2 linked regions of the Lepisosteus oculatus genome follow. The protein of the gene in region 1 binds, or shares a complex with, the protein of each later gene. Links are inferred from orthologs where the notes say so. Each region holds a gene or a part of one and is shown on either strand. Other genes may lie near its edges. The genes, in order: ednraa and edn1.

The links.
Region 2: the proteins of ednraa (region 1) and edn1 are in contact, whole or in part, in a cryo-EM structure (PDB 8HCQ), measured with the Homo sapiens proteins. The link is inferred for Lepisosteus oculatus from reciprocal best matches to the Homo sapiens genes EDNRA and EDN1. Residues at the interface, in NP_001948.1 of Homo sapiens: Tyr68, Gln72, Thr73, Lys74, Tyr129, Asp133, Ile136, Asn137, Lys140, Leu141, Gly144, Arg145, Trp146, Gln165, Lys166, Val169, Glu220, Phe224, Val227, Phe229, Tyr231, His236, Lys237, Thr238, Cys239, Met240, Leu241, Asn242, Gln252, Lys255; in NP_001403492.1 of Homo sapiens: Cys53, Ser54, Leu58, Asp60, Lys61, Glu62, Cys63, Val64, Tyr65, Phe66, Cys67, His68, Leu69, Asp70, Ile71, Ile72, Trp73.

The regions. Positions count from the first base shown.
Region 1 is NC_090696.1:26,606,697-26,614,592, forward strand, and holds the start of ednraa (endothelin receptor type Aa), read right to left. Parts: upstream 3,004-7,896; 5' UTR 2,868-3,003; intron 1-2,867. UniProt on the Homo sapiens protein: Receptor for endothelin-1. Mediates its action by association with G proteins that activate a phosphatidylinositol-calcium second messenger system. The rank order of binding affinities for ET-A is: ET1 > ET2 >> ET3.
Region 2 is NC_090705.1:17,403,971-17,411,874, reverse strand, and holds the start of edn1 (endothelin-1), read left to right. Parts: upstream 1-4,823; 5' UTR 4,824-5,246; coding exon 5,247-5,307; intron 5,308-5,878; coding exon 5,879-6,026; intron 6,027-6,437; coding exon 6,438-6,593; intron 6,594-7,195; coding exon 7,196-7,303; intron 7,304-7,904. Other genes in the region: uncharacterized protein, read left to right, coding at 1,515-1,628, 2,524-2,730. UniProt on the Homo sapiens protein: Endothelins are endothelium-derived vasoconstrictor peptides. Probable ligand for G-protein coupled receptors EDNRA and EDNRB which activates PTK2B, BCAR1, BCAR3 and, GTPases RAP1 and RHOA cascade in glomerular mesangial cells.

The sequences.
Region 1 (7,896 bases):
AAAGTCATCTCTTACCTTCATCAGTTTTAGTTAAGAATAGCATATAATGGAGCTGCAGTCAGAGATAAAAAATGGAAATACATGATGCATTTAATTAGTTTACTATATTTAAATCATTATGGTCCCATTATCATCCTTAATATTACACTGAAACATTAGATTTTTTGTACTGAGGTCCTGAAATGAGGGTGTAGCGACAGCAGCTGAACATTGATTCAGGAAAAATTGCAAATGAAAAAAGTGCACACATTTGAGATCTTTTAAAGGGGAACATGAGTTCTTCCATTTTCTTTTTTTAAAGCCAGCCATCAAAATTTTGTTTACTGTAAATAAAGTTTACCTTGTATACCCTGAATTTGTTTACAGGTTAATTGATGTCTCTAAATTATCCCTGTGTGCTTAAGTGTGTGTCCTGCGATGGATAGGTGCTCCTTTTTGGGTTGTGCCCTATGGGTTTTCATGACCATTACCAGGTATAAGCCTCCTTCTGATAAAGGAACAATTTATCTGTGATAAATTTCACAATATGGAAAAATTCAAACTTAAAACACCCCTCTGGGATAGATTGATATTACAGTCAACCTGCCACTAGAGACTAATTTAGATTAATATTTGTAAATAGCCACAGTGTGGATTAATTAGTTAATTAGATACTGTAATTGGTGAAGGTTTAATAGACAGATTCTCAAATGTCTGTGATTAGTTATGTTGCTACTATATTTAAAGTGCTTCATGGTGGTAGTTGTTTTATTTTATTTTTGCACAGCCAGTGTTTTGTTTGTGTTATAAATTTACTACAATCAAAACTTCTAATACTTGTATTCCTTCATGAATTTGCATGTGTTCATGTCCTGCTAGGGGCTTTATTCAGGCGGTGCTTGTCACTCTTCATGCCCTGAAAACATAGTTAAGTGTGATGCTTTTGAAACAATGCAGTTTTATTGCATGAGGTATGTTAATAGTACAATTAATTTAGCAGCCATGTTAAATGTCAGCACATATTCTCAGTGGGAGCTAAAAGAATTACATATGGATTTAACAATATTTCTGTTTGGGATATGCTAATCATGCAAACATGTCTTTTTTCATGTCTTTAGCAATTGGCTAAAAGCCATTTAATAATTATAATTTATACAGAAAATCATAATATCAAATTTTGTTAACTGAGTTTTGGATCAAGGGTCTTGTATAAGACAGAAATCTGGAATAAGCAGTAGGCAATTGAATTGAAAGTCCAGTTTCATTGTTGATTACCTGCCCTAAGCAGTTCTGTTACTTCATCACAGTTAAATTGTGCGCGTCATTCAAAATTGGTCAAATTTATTTATGTCATCAATCAATTAATTTTGTTACCATGATTTAATGCAGCAGTCTGAGAAATTGGGACTACAGTTCCCTTTTAAGAGGAATTACACTGCTAATTGTTTTGTTTGATTCCTAGTACTCTGTTAATTTTGTTTTTAATTTCTAAAGTCTCATGGTGAATTCAAATGAATCTCTCCAATGGTAAGAACAAGAACAAGTAAGAAAATGTCCAGTTAAATTGGCTTATGTTTGATATTACATTTTAAGCCTTGTTTATTTCTCCTCAGTCAGACTTAGAAATACTTTTATTTTTCCACTGTCTTAGTCCAAATGCAAGCCAACTTGCTCAAGTCCAAGTGCGAATAACAAATTCAGGAATTAATAAAACTTAAAGGGGCAGCTGTTCATTACAAACCTAACTACCAAGAAGCACAGCCTTTAGTATTCAGGCATTCTTCCATTAAACTTAAATTCAAATTCTGTGTTCATTTGATCTACACTGATACCAATGTAAACCAAGATAGGAAGTCTTTATCGTGTAACCAGTAGCTACCCAGCAATAAGCTGTAAGTGAACCTGAAAAAATATTCAAAATAACAAACCAAACTTCTACAGTTTACATTATATTCTCCCTGAGGACATTAAAGTTGTGTATGAAAATTGTATGCCTATTAGCAGGAATGAAAGCTGGAAACACATTTCAGTATCAGACTGGTATCAGTTAGTTCTTGTAGCCTTCAGAATTTGGAAAAGAACAGCAGTAAAAACAAATGCCATTAAATATATTTCGGGGAGATGAGATTAGGGTTGAAGAAAAAATGGTATTAGAACAAATTTAAGTTACATCTATGGAACCCCTTTATCGGGTGCTGTACTGTGTTGTAAGAAAGATTTTTTTTAAACAAAAAATTCCAACCAGTGAAATTACTTTGTTGAAACTTTGATGCACTTTTTTTTAACACTATGAAATGAAATCATCCAAAAAGAGCAAAATACAACAAGTCTGTTAGAGTATAAGCCAGAAAAACTCAAGAGGATGCAGTGCACTTAAATATGTTCAATCCACTTGAACATATAAAGAATATAAGGGAAGTGGTGTAAAAGGAGAATGGAGTAATTGTATGAATTCTTGGTGTAACCTGTTGTAAATTTTAGTTGCATAACGTGTTTCAGAAGAACCATAATTAATTTCAAACATTCTTTTGTATTCTTATACAATGTAGGCATAAAACAGTGTTTTATTCCTGCACTGTTTTTTTTATAAATTTAAATACAAAATATGGTACAAAGTGATGCTTTAAATAGGGGCACTTGTGTTGGTAAATTGCAGTTTGGCTTTCCTGTGATTAATTTTTAAGGTTTCCTGTTTCAGAAAAAAAAACTGCTTAAAAGCACAATTCTTTTAAAAGAGAAGTTTTAAAATAGACAGTTACATTTAAAATAAAACAATTAGATACTTAAATAAGCAAGAAAGCTACTTTGCAGAATCTCACCAAGCAAGGTTATAATATTAAATTGTAATGAAAGAAAATAAAGTTGCTTCTGAATGAAGGGTCACTTACCACAGAGTACTCTACGTCTGTCTCTGGATAGAGGCTGTCACACATGATAAATGATGGGAGGTGGTTTGTCTCTTAGCTGCTACGTGACTCAGTGAGTGATCCAAAGAGAACCAGAAGGCCACAGCTTGGGAAAATACACAGGAAGAGGCCAGACATGCAGTACACTGACTCACGGGCCAGCTCCTTTTGCCATAGTGCGTACATATGAAACAGCATTTTCGGAGGGGGCTTTCTGAAGCAGGGGGACTGTTTATTATACATTAGTGCACATAGTGTGAAACCTTTGGTCTCCATTTTTTTAAGACTGTGTTTGCTTAATAATGACCAATAATTTACATGTTGTATATCCATGGGAACCAATTTTAAGAGGAGATGGAAGATATTCTAAGGTTGGCCTTTTTATATACAGTTCATTGACAGTTAATGTTTTTAAACATAGCCAATACGAGTGAAAATCAAAAGATATAAAAGGATTTGGAATTCACTGTATGAGTTTTTTAATGCATTTTGGTTATAACCCCATTTATTGCTTCTCGAGACAAGTCTGTTAACACATACTAGATGTGGCATGGAGTTTGCTTTTCATCAGAGATGGAGGATGGACAGTGGGTTAGAACACCACCAAGATTACTGTTACTAAGAAATGACTGATGGGGGCAGTCTGTTGTTGTTTTTTCCATCAGTCTCAATCTTTTGTTTACTATAGTGCTCTTTGCAACAATTTCGCACTTTACAGAGTTTCATAACATTTTTAAAATCTAGCAACAATGGGCATGGGCAAAGGATAAACACAATTTCCCAATTGGAAAAAAAAAGGTTTTGGGGGTTAAAGAATCTATGGTTGCCCCCTGTCTAAAGTGTTCATAATTTGTGACTGGAGACTCCGTTTCCAGATCACCTGACACTCCTGAGGTATCCAGATGAACACATACACACACATACGCAAACACTTCACTATCTAAACAAAGGCGATAACGCTGGTTTCCAACGTAAACAGACTAGTCTGGAATTCGGGGGATAGCTTTGCTTGCTCTGTGAGTGCACACACAGAGGAAAGTAAGGTTTTTCCCGTATTATCAAAATTAAACATTAACCCAAACACCTGTTTTCCTTTGTTTTAGAAGTGAAATGAACCAAATTGGCGATCAACTCACGGGTTTCAAATAAATAAGTTGTTTGGATTTCTCACCGGGAAAATGGTTTCTCCCACAACCTTTAGGACCCAATTCTTGCCATGGCAACAACGGCTGGCTTAGTAGTGCCTGTTTCAGGCTTGGGCTTGGGTTGATTGATTTGTAAGAAGATACCATTAAGAGGGAGTAGTGTTTTCTTAAACAATATTTATGGACATAAAAGGAGTATGATATTATAGTTTTGTTAATAACATGTTCATTCTTTAGTTGTATATTTAATGAAGAAATGTGTATATCAGAATTCTGAGTATTATTTTGTAAAATTATTTTTGCTTTATAGTGGAATATTCTAGGGGGAGGAGTTTAACCTAGAAAAGGTGCTCTTCCTGGGGGAGGGGGAGTGATAGGAGAAGATTTTGTAGTGGGTTGGTATAGGAGCTGCTTACAACAATCTATTTGTACAGCGATTATTATTATTGTTATTATTGTTGTTGTTTTATTATTATACTATTAGCTTTGTGTTGTTTTTTTTCCTGGTTAGTTTGTGTTTTTCACTTTGTTTTTTGGGTGTGGACTTTGGGTACACAGTTCCTCCTCATAAACGTTTTTGCAATTGGGGCTGTGCCATCGTTATTGTTACATTCTATCTAAGCCTCTAAACTCTTCAAGGAGGAGACTGTGACATAATTAATATGATTGATTGTAGCTAAATGATTGTGATTGAAGTAGCTAAAGTTGCCTGCGTTGCCCATCTTAGGTCTAGTTTTCCAGGTTTTAATGTCACAGGAAGGACAGTGGGGAAAAATAAAAATGGGAAAGATTGTTAGAAAAACTGAGTGGAAAATCATAGTTTAGGGTTTCCATGTACTCTGGTGCTAAATGAATTATTTCTGATTCTAATGAAACAACGAATTTCTGCATTTCATTTCCTTAATGGTTTATGAATCATCCTGCAGTGAAAAAGATTGTTAACATAAAAGGATACACCAGGGAAGGAGTTTATAAACCCATTTTACACATTTAAGCGAACAGTAACATTATTTTTTTGCAGAAATAGGTTTTGAAATTTGAAAAAAAAATTAACCTTTTCTACAGTTTACTCCATACTATTTAACTGTTTCCTTTTTATTTGAAAAAAATCCTACTACATTTACACATTGAAAAAGGTTATCACAACAACTCAAGGTAAACTACAAAAATGTAAACAGCTGGATAAATGAGTGACAGCATGCTAATTGGCTTCTGGAAAAACTGGCCCTGGTGTGGGTATGATTGAGTCTGTGTGTCTGCCCACAGCGTCCCAAGCAGGGTGTAACCCGCCTACTGCCCTCTGCTTGGCAGGATAGGCTCCGAGTCCCCTGCGACCACGGATAGGATGAAGCAGCTAGAAAATGAATGGAATATTTTCTATCTAGCTTTCATTTTGAAGCTTTCAAAATTAATGTCTTAATGCTAAGCCATTTAGCTTGAACAGGATGTGACATTACTAAATAGCATAAAATATTTTTCTCAAAATATTGCACCTAGTGTTTTTTTATACCCGAGCTTTCATTTTTCTATGTGTTTGCATTGTTACATAAAAATAAGTCTAGACCATACTCTACGGCACTTTGTTTAAACACAGACCTTGAAAAATAAACAAAATGTGCTTTTAATATTTCTTATCTTCTAGTTGAAAAAGATAGCCCTCCTGGACAGCTGTTTTGGAAGTTTTCTGCATTCAAAAGTATTCATCATCTCTCAGTAATGGATGATTTTTCATAAAGTTTTAAAAACTAATGGGGAAGTGTAAATGACAGAAACATCTTTCCAATATTCCTCATCTGTCTACATGAACTGCTACTCTCATGTGGCTTAGAGAATTTTTTTTTGCTAAAAAAAGGGAACATTTTTCCTCTGTGTATTGTTCAAAGAAACTCCATCAGGTTTGTCTTTCACTGAGTCAATTGTGTGGCTACATGGGAAATTGTAACATAATATTATCAGGGGGATTATCAGGAAGAAGGTCTTTAAGTTCAGTCATTTCAGCAGTAGAAATTCATATATTATGTGACTTAATGTTACAGAATGAAGTGTACATATTAAAAATGTATGAAATAGTAATTTAGAATATTAAGAATGGTCTTCAGAACAAAATTGAACACTGCCTACAATCAACTTCCTAACTGCCTAACTTGTAAATGTACTAGTAGCGTGCATTGGAACAGCTGTTACACAATCAAATGCAGGATTTTCATCTTAATACTCACTTGCCAAAAGTACAATAACCCAGTTGCAAATCCATCCATCCATTATCAGAAAGTTGGTTATTTATGGTGGGGGTTGTAGCAACGTGGAGCCTATCCAGGTACCTAAAGCACATCTGGAGAGCCCTGTCCATCACAGGGTGCACGTACACTCGATCCCTAAGTGCAAAAGGGAATCGGCAAGTACTTTTCTGATTGCGTATTTCATAAAGTATTAAAATAAAATATAAAATAAAGTATTTCATTTTCTTTATTGCGGTAAACAGTATACTGTAGCATATGACGTCCCAGGTTTACAACTTTACCATGAAGGACCCTTCCAAGATTACAATCTTTCTAATAAAGATATAGTCTCTTCTTGGGGCTTCAGTGAAGCACATGGGATGTAGAAGCATGCCCTTGACTTGTGTGGGTAAAGCACTTCTGTTCAACTAGGAGACCACCTAGGGTTGTCTCCACACATCCTCGTTGCAGCTCAGAGCAAACTCCAGACAGATTCCTATGTACCCATCCTCCAGTGCCTACATCACAGCACTGTTTTTCTAAGGCTGATTCCCAGTGAAGACACACAGTCACATGAATTACATCCAACAAAAACAACAACCCTTTGACCTGTAGGAATAGTCTGCCTGGTTTCCAAACCCTTAGAAGAAATATGTTTGCTTTTATCCCCTATAAAAGCATCCCCTGAGGCAAGCCATGATTTAATCTCATTAAGATTCATAATGATTTGTTACGAAGGTTGCTGTATATCTCTTTTTTGAAACTCAAGATTGTAGCCACCCAACACTGTGTACCTTGCCTTTATAAAGCTGTTGTTAATGTCCCTTTCACTTGTTTGATCTTCTAATTAAGGGAAACTTCCACCACATCTGTTTTTGCTGTAGGAGGAATGTTCAGTCTTCCATGTCATTGTTTGTATGTTCTAGGTTTAAAATACTGAGATCCATTAAGAACACAACAAATGCTACTGGTTCCAGTATTTATCATTTTTGTTTTCTTTCATACCTAGTACATATTGAATTGTACTAGGGCATTTTTATGATAGATTTTAACATTTGCTCAATGCTTTGTTTTTTCTATAATATATAAATATTATATATAACAATTGTTTTTCTCTCTTTAGACACATATTTGCACATATTTTATATATACACATATTTATATTCTAATACATTAGTCATCTTTCATGCCACAGGGTTTAAAGGTATATGCTATATACAGAATGTATACATACATATTTACTTTATACTTAAATTACTTATTTTTTTCTGAACATCAAATTAGTTTGTAAACCAAAGTCAGTCACGAAGCTGCATGGTTTAGATAAATCTACCAGAGTACTGGTCTTTCTAACCCAAAAAATATTATACATTTTGATAAGATTTTCCTTCTTCCAGCTTTGAAATTATCTGCTTTTTAGTTACAGTGATTGATTTGTTCAAATTAACAGGTCAGTTGTGTTCTTTCTTATCTGTGTATTGCCTGTGTTTTGCATTTATCCATTTAAGTAATATATCTTTATCTGTTGTTTTCACTGTTGTTTTAACAATAAATCTGGTGAACATTGTCACAAGAGTGTTACACAATGCATCTTTTTGAAAAAAAACCATGATAAATAAAATTACAGAGTAGTGTGAGAGTGGCTCT
Region 2 (7,904 bases), on another chromosome or scaffold:
CAGTAGGATATTATTTTTGGTACGAACTAATACACCAATTACTCAAAAGACAAAATACTTTCCCCACTATTCTCTTATCTTTCTGTTTACAAGTGAGATTTGTCTTTCAAACGTCATTATGGAACGTGCAATCTGACCATCATTCCATTATGGGGGAATCAGTTTTCAGGACATTGGGCATTTCCCATTACAGGAAAGTTAAAATATCTGGAAGGCTTAACTACTGATATGTTAGGCTCCTGTGAGCTTCAGGGACAGCTGTAAAAGCACATGCATATGTCCTACAAGGTTTTGAAATATTTGCAGCCCATCCCACCTTTATAGAAGAATGACCTTCAGATGATGATGTAAGGACTTGAACTTCAATTGATTTTACTAGTTCTCAACTGGATTGAGATCTTGAGCTGGTTCTGGTAAGGGAAGGTGATGGAAGTCTTTCTTATGTCCCTCAAGTCATACATTGCCTGTCACTCAGAGAGCCTATTCGTCTGACCTGTCATTCCTTGGATTTTGGCCAGATGTGGTATTAGTGAATCAGAATTCCCTCTTGTCCTGTTTCAGCTCCTTTTGGAATTGTTGTATGTTGCTTAATATTAGTTTGATTATTTCTCTGTTATTTTAATGGGACTAGAAGGCCTAGACAGATTTAAGGTAAGCTTTCCAAATTGCTGCGCATTTCAAGCACAAAAACATAAGATGTCTGAAGTCCCAGTGCACTACAAAATCAAGAGGAAAGCTTAATCCTAAGATCACAAGTGGAAACTACATGAATGTGAATTTAAAACTGAGAACGGGAAGCACTTCTTAACAAAAAAGGGTTGTGGGAGTCTGGAACAAGCTATTCAGATGTGCTGCTGCAGCTAATACCCTGGCTTCTATCAAGAAATGGCTGGATGGATCCATACATCTTTAAGCTACAGTCAAAATAGCTAGTCTGTGACCATTTTAATGATTTTTAGATTTGTATGTATTATGTATTGCCATACAGAGCTTGAGGTGAAAAGTATTATCTGAATGGGATCTAATACTGACAATATTTGTGTTAGGAATCCCTGGTGAGAAGATACACGGATCCTGTGCAGACGCAGGCACGGGTGATAGATGAGGCAGGCGAACAAACCAGAACGAGAGGCAAGGTCGTAGTCAAAAGGCGAAAGGCAAGTCGTAATCCAGGAAGTTCACCGGTAGCAGACAGTCCGAGTCGAGAGGCGAGGAGCAAAGTCGAAAAGGCAGAAGGGGAATCCAAAAACCGGAATAAACGAGGTACGGGGAAAAACGCCAGGTAGAGCTCTCAAGGAGTAGACTCAATACCGAGCAGTGGGAAGCAGGTGCAGATGGTTTAAATAACAGTGCGCACCGCAATGAGTGTGCGCAGGTGGTTTAACTCGTGCGGCGGCGTTTGTTGATAATCACCCGCTGCTGGGTCTGATTAGCTCGCTTACGCTTTGTCTTTGACTGCCTGGTTGTCGTGACAATTTGGTTTGGGGTTAATTCCCAATATTATCGCATTGTAGGAAGAATGGCTTTCTTTGCTGGGAAGGAAGTGTGTGCCCATGCTGCAGTGTCTAAGTGGTCAGGATATTACTACGGGACTACAGGAGCTAAGAGAAGGGTGCCTCAAATACTCTGTAAGTTAAAAAAAAATAATTCAGCAAACAATTCCATGTTCTTGAGCGTCAAATCACTTAAACGGTAAACTTTCCTTGTATATATCTATCAGCAGTTTTTTTTTTTCACTACTATCCATAGTGCAGCATAAACAAATTTTGATTCAGGACGATTTAAAAGAGTAAATACTGAAAACCTGCCCACAATTTGTCAGAAACTAATATATTTATGTTACAAAAGATGTCCAGCTGTTGCACCTAATGATGAAGCTGTACTGTAGGTGCGATGCTGTGCAAGTCTGGATTTTGGTAAATTTAGTGTTTTGCCTACTTTTCTGTACAATTTGGTTTTGAGTTCTTTTCTGTATGTAGTCTTGGGAAAATTTACCCAATATGTAAATTGCAATCAGCAGGTGGGAGGAAATTACGATTTCGTCCAGGCATATTTCATTCTAACGTTTATGTCGCATTGAAAAATCATCAAAACGAGCTATTCTGCTTGAAACCGAATGTACAGAACATGTATAGAACATGATAATCGAATGGACAGTTTCTAACCGAGTCCTGGCTGTAGAAACTTGAGCACACGTCAGGGTGGGTGAAATTCAGTACGAATCCAGATTGCTATGAATTTAAAGTTGATGGTACGGAACTTTTACCTCCAGAGGTGTAAGACACACTTAATTTTGCCTAAAAAACACCCATGGATATCTGTGCAGTAGACGCATACTGTATATGAACATTATGTTGGTCCTTAATGTCCAATAACAGTGTAAAAACAGACACCAAAGAAACAATTTTGCGGATTTTTAAATTCATTCGCGTACACTTGATTTTAGAGATGCTGCTAAAAGTGAAACTTAATAATAATAAGTGAAACTTATCAAAAACATTTTGGTCGTTTTGTGCTCTGAAGGAGGACACTCTGTGCTTTGAGGACACACTGCTGTTCATCGTCGCTCACAAAGGGCAAGCGAGCCGCGCTGTGGGTCCCGGAATCCAGCGCTCCGGTCGGACTCACCTGCTTGCTCACGGGCCTGAGGATGTGACGTATAGATTACCGCTGGCTGAAGACATGGTCAAATACCTGAGGTCACCCCTCCAAGCACATCTATCATCTTAAAGGTCCGTTTAATATGTAAACAAATTACTTTTACTATTTTACTTCATCAATAAAATAATAAAAACACGTACCCCTTTTTGTGGTTCTGTGGCATTACAGGGCTTCTTTGACAGTGAATGTAATTGAAAAGGGCAAAGGTTAAATATTATATGTTTCTACCACATTTCACGAATTGAAAGAAACTATTGCTGCACAGACAATATAATTTATAAATCGATGGCTGATTGAATTACTCATATTTTTCGACGCATTCTGCGATATGTATTACTTATAGAAACCAGACAGTCTGGATACTAATAAAACAGCAATTAACTGCAGTGCTTTCTGACTGAAGTGAATGGGTATTGACCTTTGTTTGACAGCCTGTTGGGTTAAAGTGTTTAGACAAATGAATTCACTGTAGTCACAGTAGTCTTTTATAATGATTAGCTCATTCTGTCTGCTTTCCTTAACCTTTTTATTCCGCAGCAAAGGAAACTATACTTTTGTATGATCCTGTCCAAGAACACCTGGTGTTGTAAATGTTGCATAAGTGATAACACCCGTTCAGTCTCTGTTTCACTCTAATAAAAATGAAATTGCTTCAAACTTGCCATGTCTAAATTAACCAAGGTCCAGCAGTGCACTGAACAATACACATCGTAGTCATTCGTTCAGATCTTTCCTGCTTCTGGTATAATGCAAATAATTGTTTCCCTTTTTTGTGGTCGAAGGATATAATTCATTTGTTGCATAGTTCTAATTTAGATCTTTCAGTTAATGGTAAATAAATCCTTGGTCCTTTTGCGATGATATTGTAAAGACGCAGAAAATATGGTTAATAAATATGGTTACGAAAACATTCACCTCACATATTAAATCATCAAAACATTTTTTTTTAAATGTAACAGTTCGGAATGCATGGATTTCTTAATTGATATTAAATATTCAGTGAGATTCCGATTCTCAGTGCGGCAGTGCCACCCTGAGTCGGGCCTTCCATTAGCCAGTATAATGTGGATTATGACGCCTCCTTGTGGTGATAAAGTGCAATGAATAACTGTACGTATAGGTGTTAGGTAAAAGATTTGTTTTTAAAGGGGAATAGTAAATATCAAGAGCGGTAAAGCTTTTCATCGACGGACTATCATTATGCTTCATTTATTGCTAAAGACTGAAATGTCATTATTGATTTATTTATAATACTGTCGCCGATTATTCCGTCGAAAATTCAGTGGCACAGAGAGCGAATGGGATCATTTTTAGTTATTGATACAGTAATCAGAAACGGTACAAAATTTAAATGAAAAGGCGAAAATGTACCCCTTTTACACCCCATAGCTTTCTTTTAATATTGGAAAGTAACGTTTGGGTAGAAGGGATTAGTTTGTAACGTTTACATGTTAGGTTTTCTACAAACGTTGTATTTCACTACACAGTGTATTTTTACATATATAACGACACTTCAAACATAACATGATGTGTTTTGAAAAAATAAACTCATAATGAATTATATATTGGTAAGCAAAACAGATTCTTCTTTTGATACAATTATTAAACTATTTTTCGTTAGCTAAAAAAACCTACAGGGAATTCGATGATGCTGTCAAGTCTTTTCAGAGCACAAAATCTCTGATGAATACTGACAAATACTCCTCAGTCGAATGAGAACAGTCAGGACCACAGCATATTTTCTGTTTTGTATCATGAGTAGAAATCGTGTAGAAAGATTCGAAACTTCTGTTGTAAACTTCTGTCACGAGTCAAAACATTTTGAACAATTGTCTTGTTGCGCGTCAAGTCCGTCTACCTATACAGGAGTTAAGAACCTTCCATCAAACACGTCTTCGTTTTATCGCCTAAGCCCGTTTAACAAGACTATATCGTAACTCTGAATTCAATTATACGGACGAGTGCCCACGTATTATTTATAAAATACAGGTAACTTAAAGGCATTAAATAAAAAAACAGCTTTGAATATTATACAGTGATTTCCCTACAGCTGTTTGTGCTCGTCGGACATGATCATCAAGGTCATTTACAAGCTTCGGCAGACCAAAACTACCGAAACAAATGGTAGCTGATGTTTCAGTTGCACGCCCTCTGCTGTTAAGCATGTGCAAGCGCAGCACCGAAATCTTGGCAAGAGCTTCGCCTCAAACTGCCGCTCGGCGTCTCCATCCCTCTGAAGTCCTCGAAATACTTTTTTTCTTATCTCAGCCTGCACGTTGCTTGTTGGTGACTAATAACAAATAGCATTGTCTCTTAATGAGACGCAAGACAAAGCTGTTTACACACGTCTGAAGGAGGAGGAAAGCAGCGGCGCGGGGGGTGTATATATACACATGTATAAAAAGGAGAAGCGCTCTTAAAAGCAGAATTATTCTCTCAAGACTCCGACTGGAATACACTCGCGCTTTTGAAAGATTGATCTTGCTGTGCAGAAGCATCTTTAATTCCATCTTGCTGGTATTCGACATTCAATTATTGCAAGGAATACTTATTCGGAGGAAAGTTATTCTATATAAATATTAAAAATGGAATTACACATACTTTTCTCAATGATGTCTTTATTATATTCTGGACTTCTTCAGACAGGTAAGTTGAACGCTTAGGTGTTTATGCCTTTTTTCACAACTGTCAGGTCTATAGCTATACAGTATATAGGCGCTGTTTCTTAAACACCATTAATCTTGGACTTTAATCTTTATAGAAAATAAAGATTGCAAACATGCGATTTGTGATCAGAAATTAAATGAGATGAATTGCATTTTTTTTTACTTCATGTATTCAAATTAAAGTACCGTAACAAACAAAAGTGCATATAACAGATATAGAGTATATACCGTTCGAAATGCTTTTTGGGGAGGACCACAATGACAACTGACAGTCTCATTTTCATTCGTGTATTGGGCACACTTTGTTTAAAACTGCAATGCGACGATACAATACGTTTTGACACAAAAATGGCCATTATTCGACAACTGGACAAAATTCCATACTGGGACACAAATGCGCAATTAACCAAATCGCAAGTAATTTTTATGAGGAAAAGCAAATGTCCCAGTACCCCCAACAACAACGTATTTTGTTCGTCTACGGTCAGTACTTATTTATGTGTAACCCGTATATGTATAAATATAACCTTTTATTGTTGTTGTCTTTGCAGTGTCCATGTCTTTAAGCCAAGAAACATCCTCAGTCTCGAGCGCACCTTGGCGGCACATCAGAACGAAAAGGTGCTCATGTTCCACATTTCTGGACAAGGAATGCGTCTACTTCTGTCACCTTGACATTATTTGGATCAACACACCAGAGTAAGAACCTGCCTAAATAATCTCTCTCTACTTATATATTATATAAATAACTGCAGAGGTATTTCGATCTTATATGAAAGCAGGTGGAAGTGAAGTTAAGCATTCTGTGAAAGGAGAATAACGAGTAGGATCGAATATTTAATCCATCATTTTGACTTGCTTTTTTGATTTCCTAACGTTGGATAGTGAAACTTAAGAAAACGATTACTAAACAAGCAAGCGCTTTATACAGTATAGGCTACTGTAACAACCTATCATAGGACATTTTGCTTCTTGTGTTTCTTGCGCTACGAACCAACCCACAGCACATCAGGGGAAAATAAGTTGCTACAGTTCATGCCATGGTCACATGGAATCTGCATTCCAGAACCTTACTGCCAGAAACCTAATGTAACTCCTTCGTCTTTGCAGACGCACTGTTTCCTACGGGCTAGGAAGCGCTCCGAGAGTGAAGCGCGCTCTCAGGTCTTTTCCGAACGGACTGACGCATGGAGACTCAAGGTGCACATGTGCCAGTAAAGAAGACAAAACGTGCGCGACGTTCTGTCAATCGGAAAATCTACAGAGGCAAGTGACATTTCTGTTATTCGAACTGGGGGGTATTCATGCTTAAATAAAGATTGCACGTCTGATTTCAGTTTTCACTGATAGTGTTATTTTGCGAACGACAGGAGAATATTGTTTTTTCTCGTATTAATCGTGACTCTGTACTGTTCAGCTGGGTTCACCATCAACAGCTTTTAAACAACCTAAAAGCAAAGTGATTTGCCAGAAAACAGAAGTTGTTTCTCTGGTAGACGTGCTCTCCTTTTCCAGCCTTTAAATTAAAGCTAAGAAAAGCTGTCCCCCTCGAAAATTAAAGTTCCAATTTTAATCCTTTTTGAACGTGTTCAAAAACGTTAGAAGAAATTAGAACAAACGTTACAAATCTACTTCAATCTATACAGTATGTGTAATTCTTAGATTTTCTATATATTCAATATATGGATTTTAAAGCATCAATCATTGTGTTTTACGTATTGAATGAGATTTAATTGTATGAGAGGAGTTACTAAGGTGCTACTTGAATTGCTACTACAATTCAAAGAACATCAATACAACCAACACTGGGAACACTGTGAGGTTTTTGTGGATTTCTCGTCTCACATTACACAAACTTTCATCTCTAGATTGCAAAGCACAGACGTGAAACTACAGGCTGTCTCTGCAGAAGCCCAGGACTGCACAGGGTGGCAGTGCTTATACAATCTGGCAGCAAACAAGAGAAAAATTACAAGGTAAGAAATAGAAGAGATTACAACCTCTCGAATCGACACGTGTCCAAGAAAGGCATACTGTAGCATAATCATAACTTCAAAAGGGTAAGATGTCTCCTAAGATGCACCGTAAATGTGACAGCACATAACATTCTGAAATAGGTATACAGTATATAGAATATATGCATTGAGAATCACTTTTTTGTGTCATTGACAAGAACAATGAGACAACAGAATGTGTTTTTTGATCTCTTTCAAGAGACGAATAGATTCCGATATGTACAGTACTCTTTAATTTTCATCCCACATTTTTTAACTAATTGAGTTTCAAGTAGATTCTAAGTGTGCAAGTGAATTGGGAAGAGGTCAATGCAAGTTTGAAACAGCTATTTAGTAAATCATGGTTTGGAGATGGATGTAGAGTCTCATGGTTTAAGTCTTAATGTGGATAGTATCTTAAATAGTTAATGCCTTTTTAAAAAATATTTCTTGTTTGTTGAAGGATTGACTAAAGGTTTCTTTAACATATTTATGCTCTACTTTCATCTGACCCAAACATAAAAAAGCTTTAATATTTTTTCTTTTGTCTGCTTCGGTCAGAGTGGTTGATGCTTTATTTAAC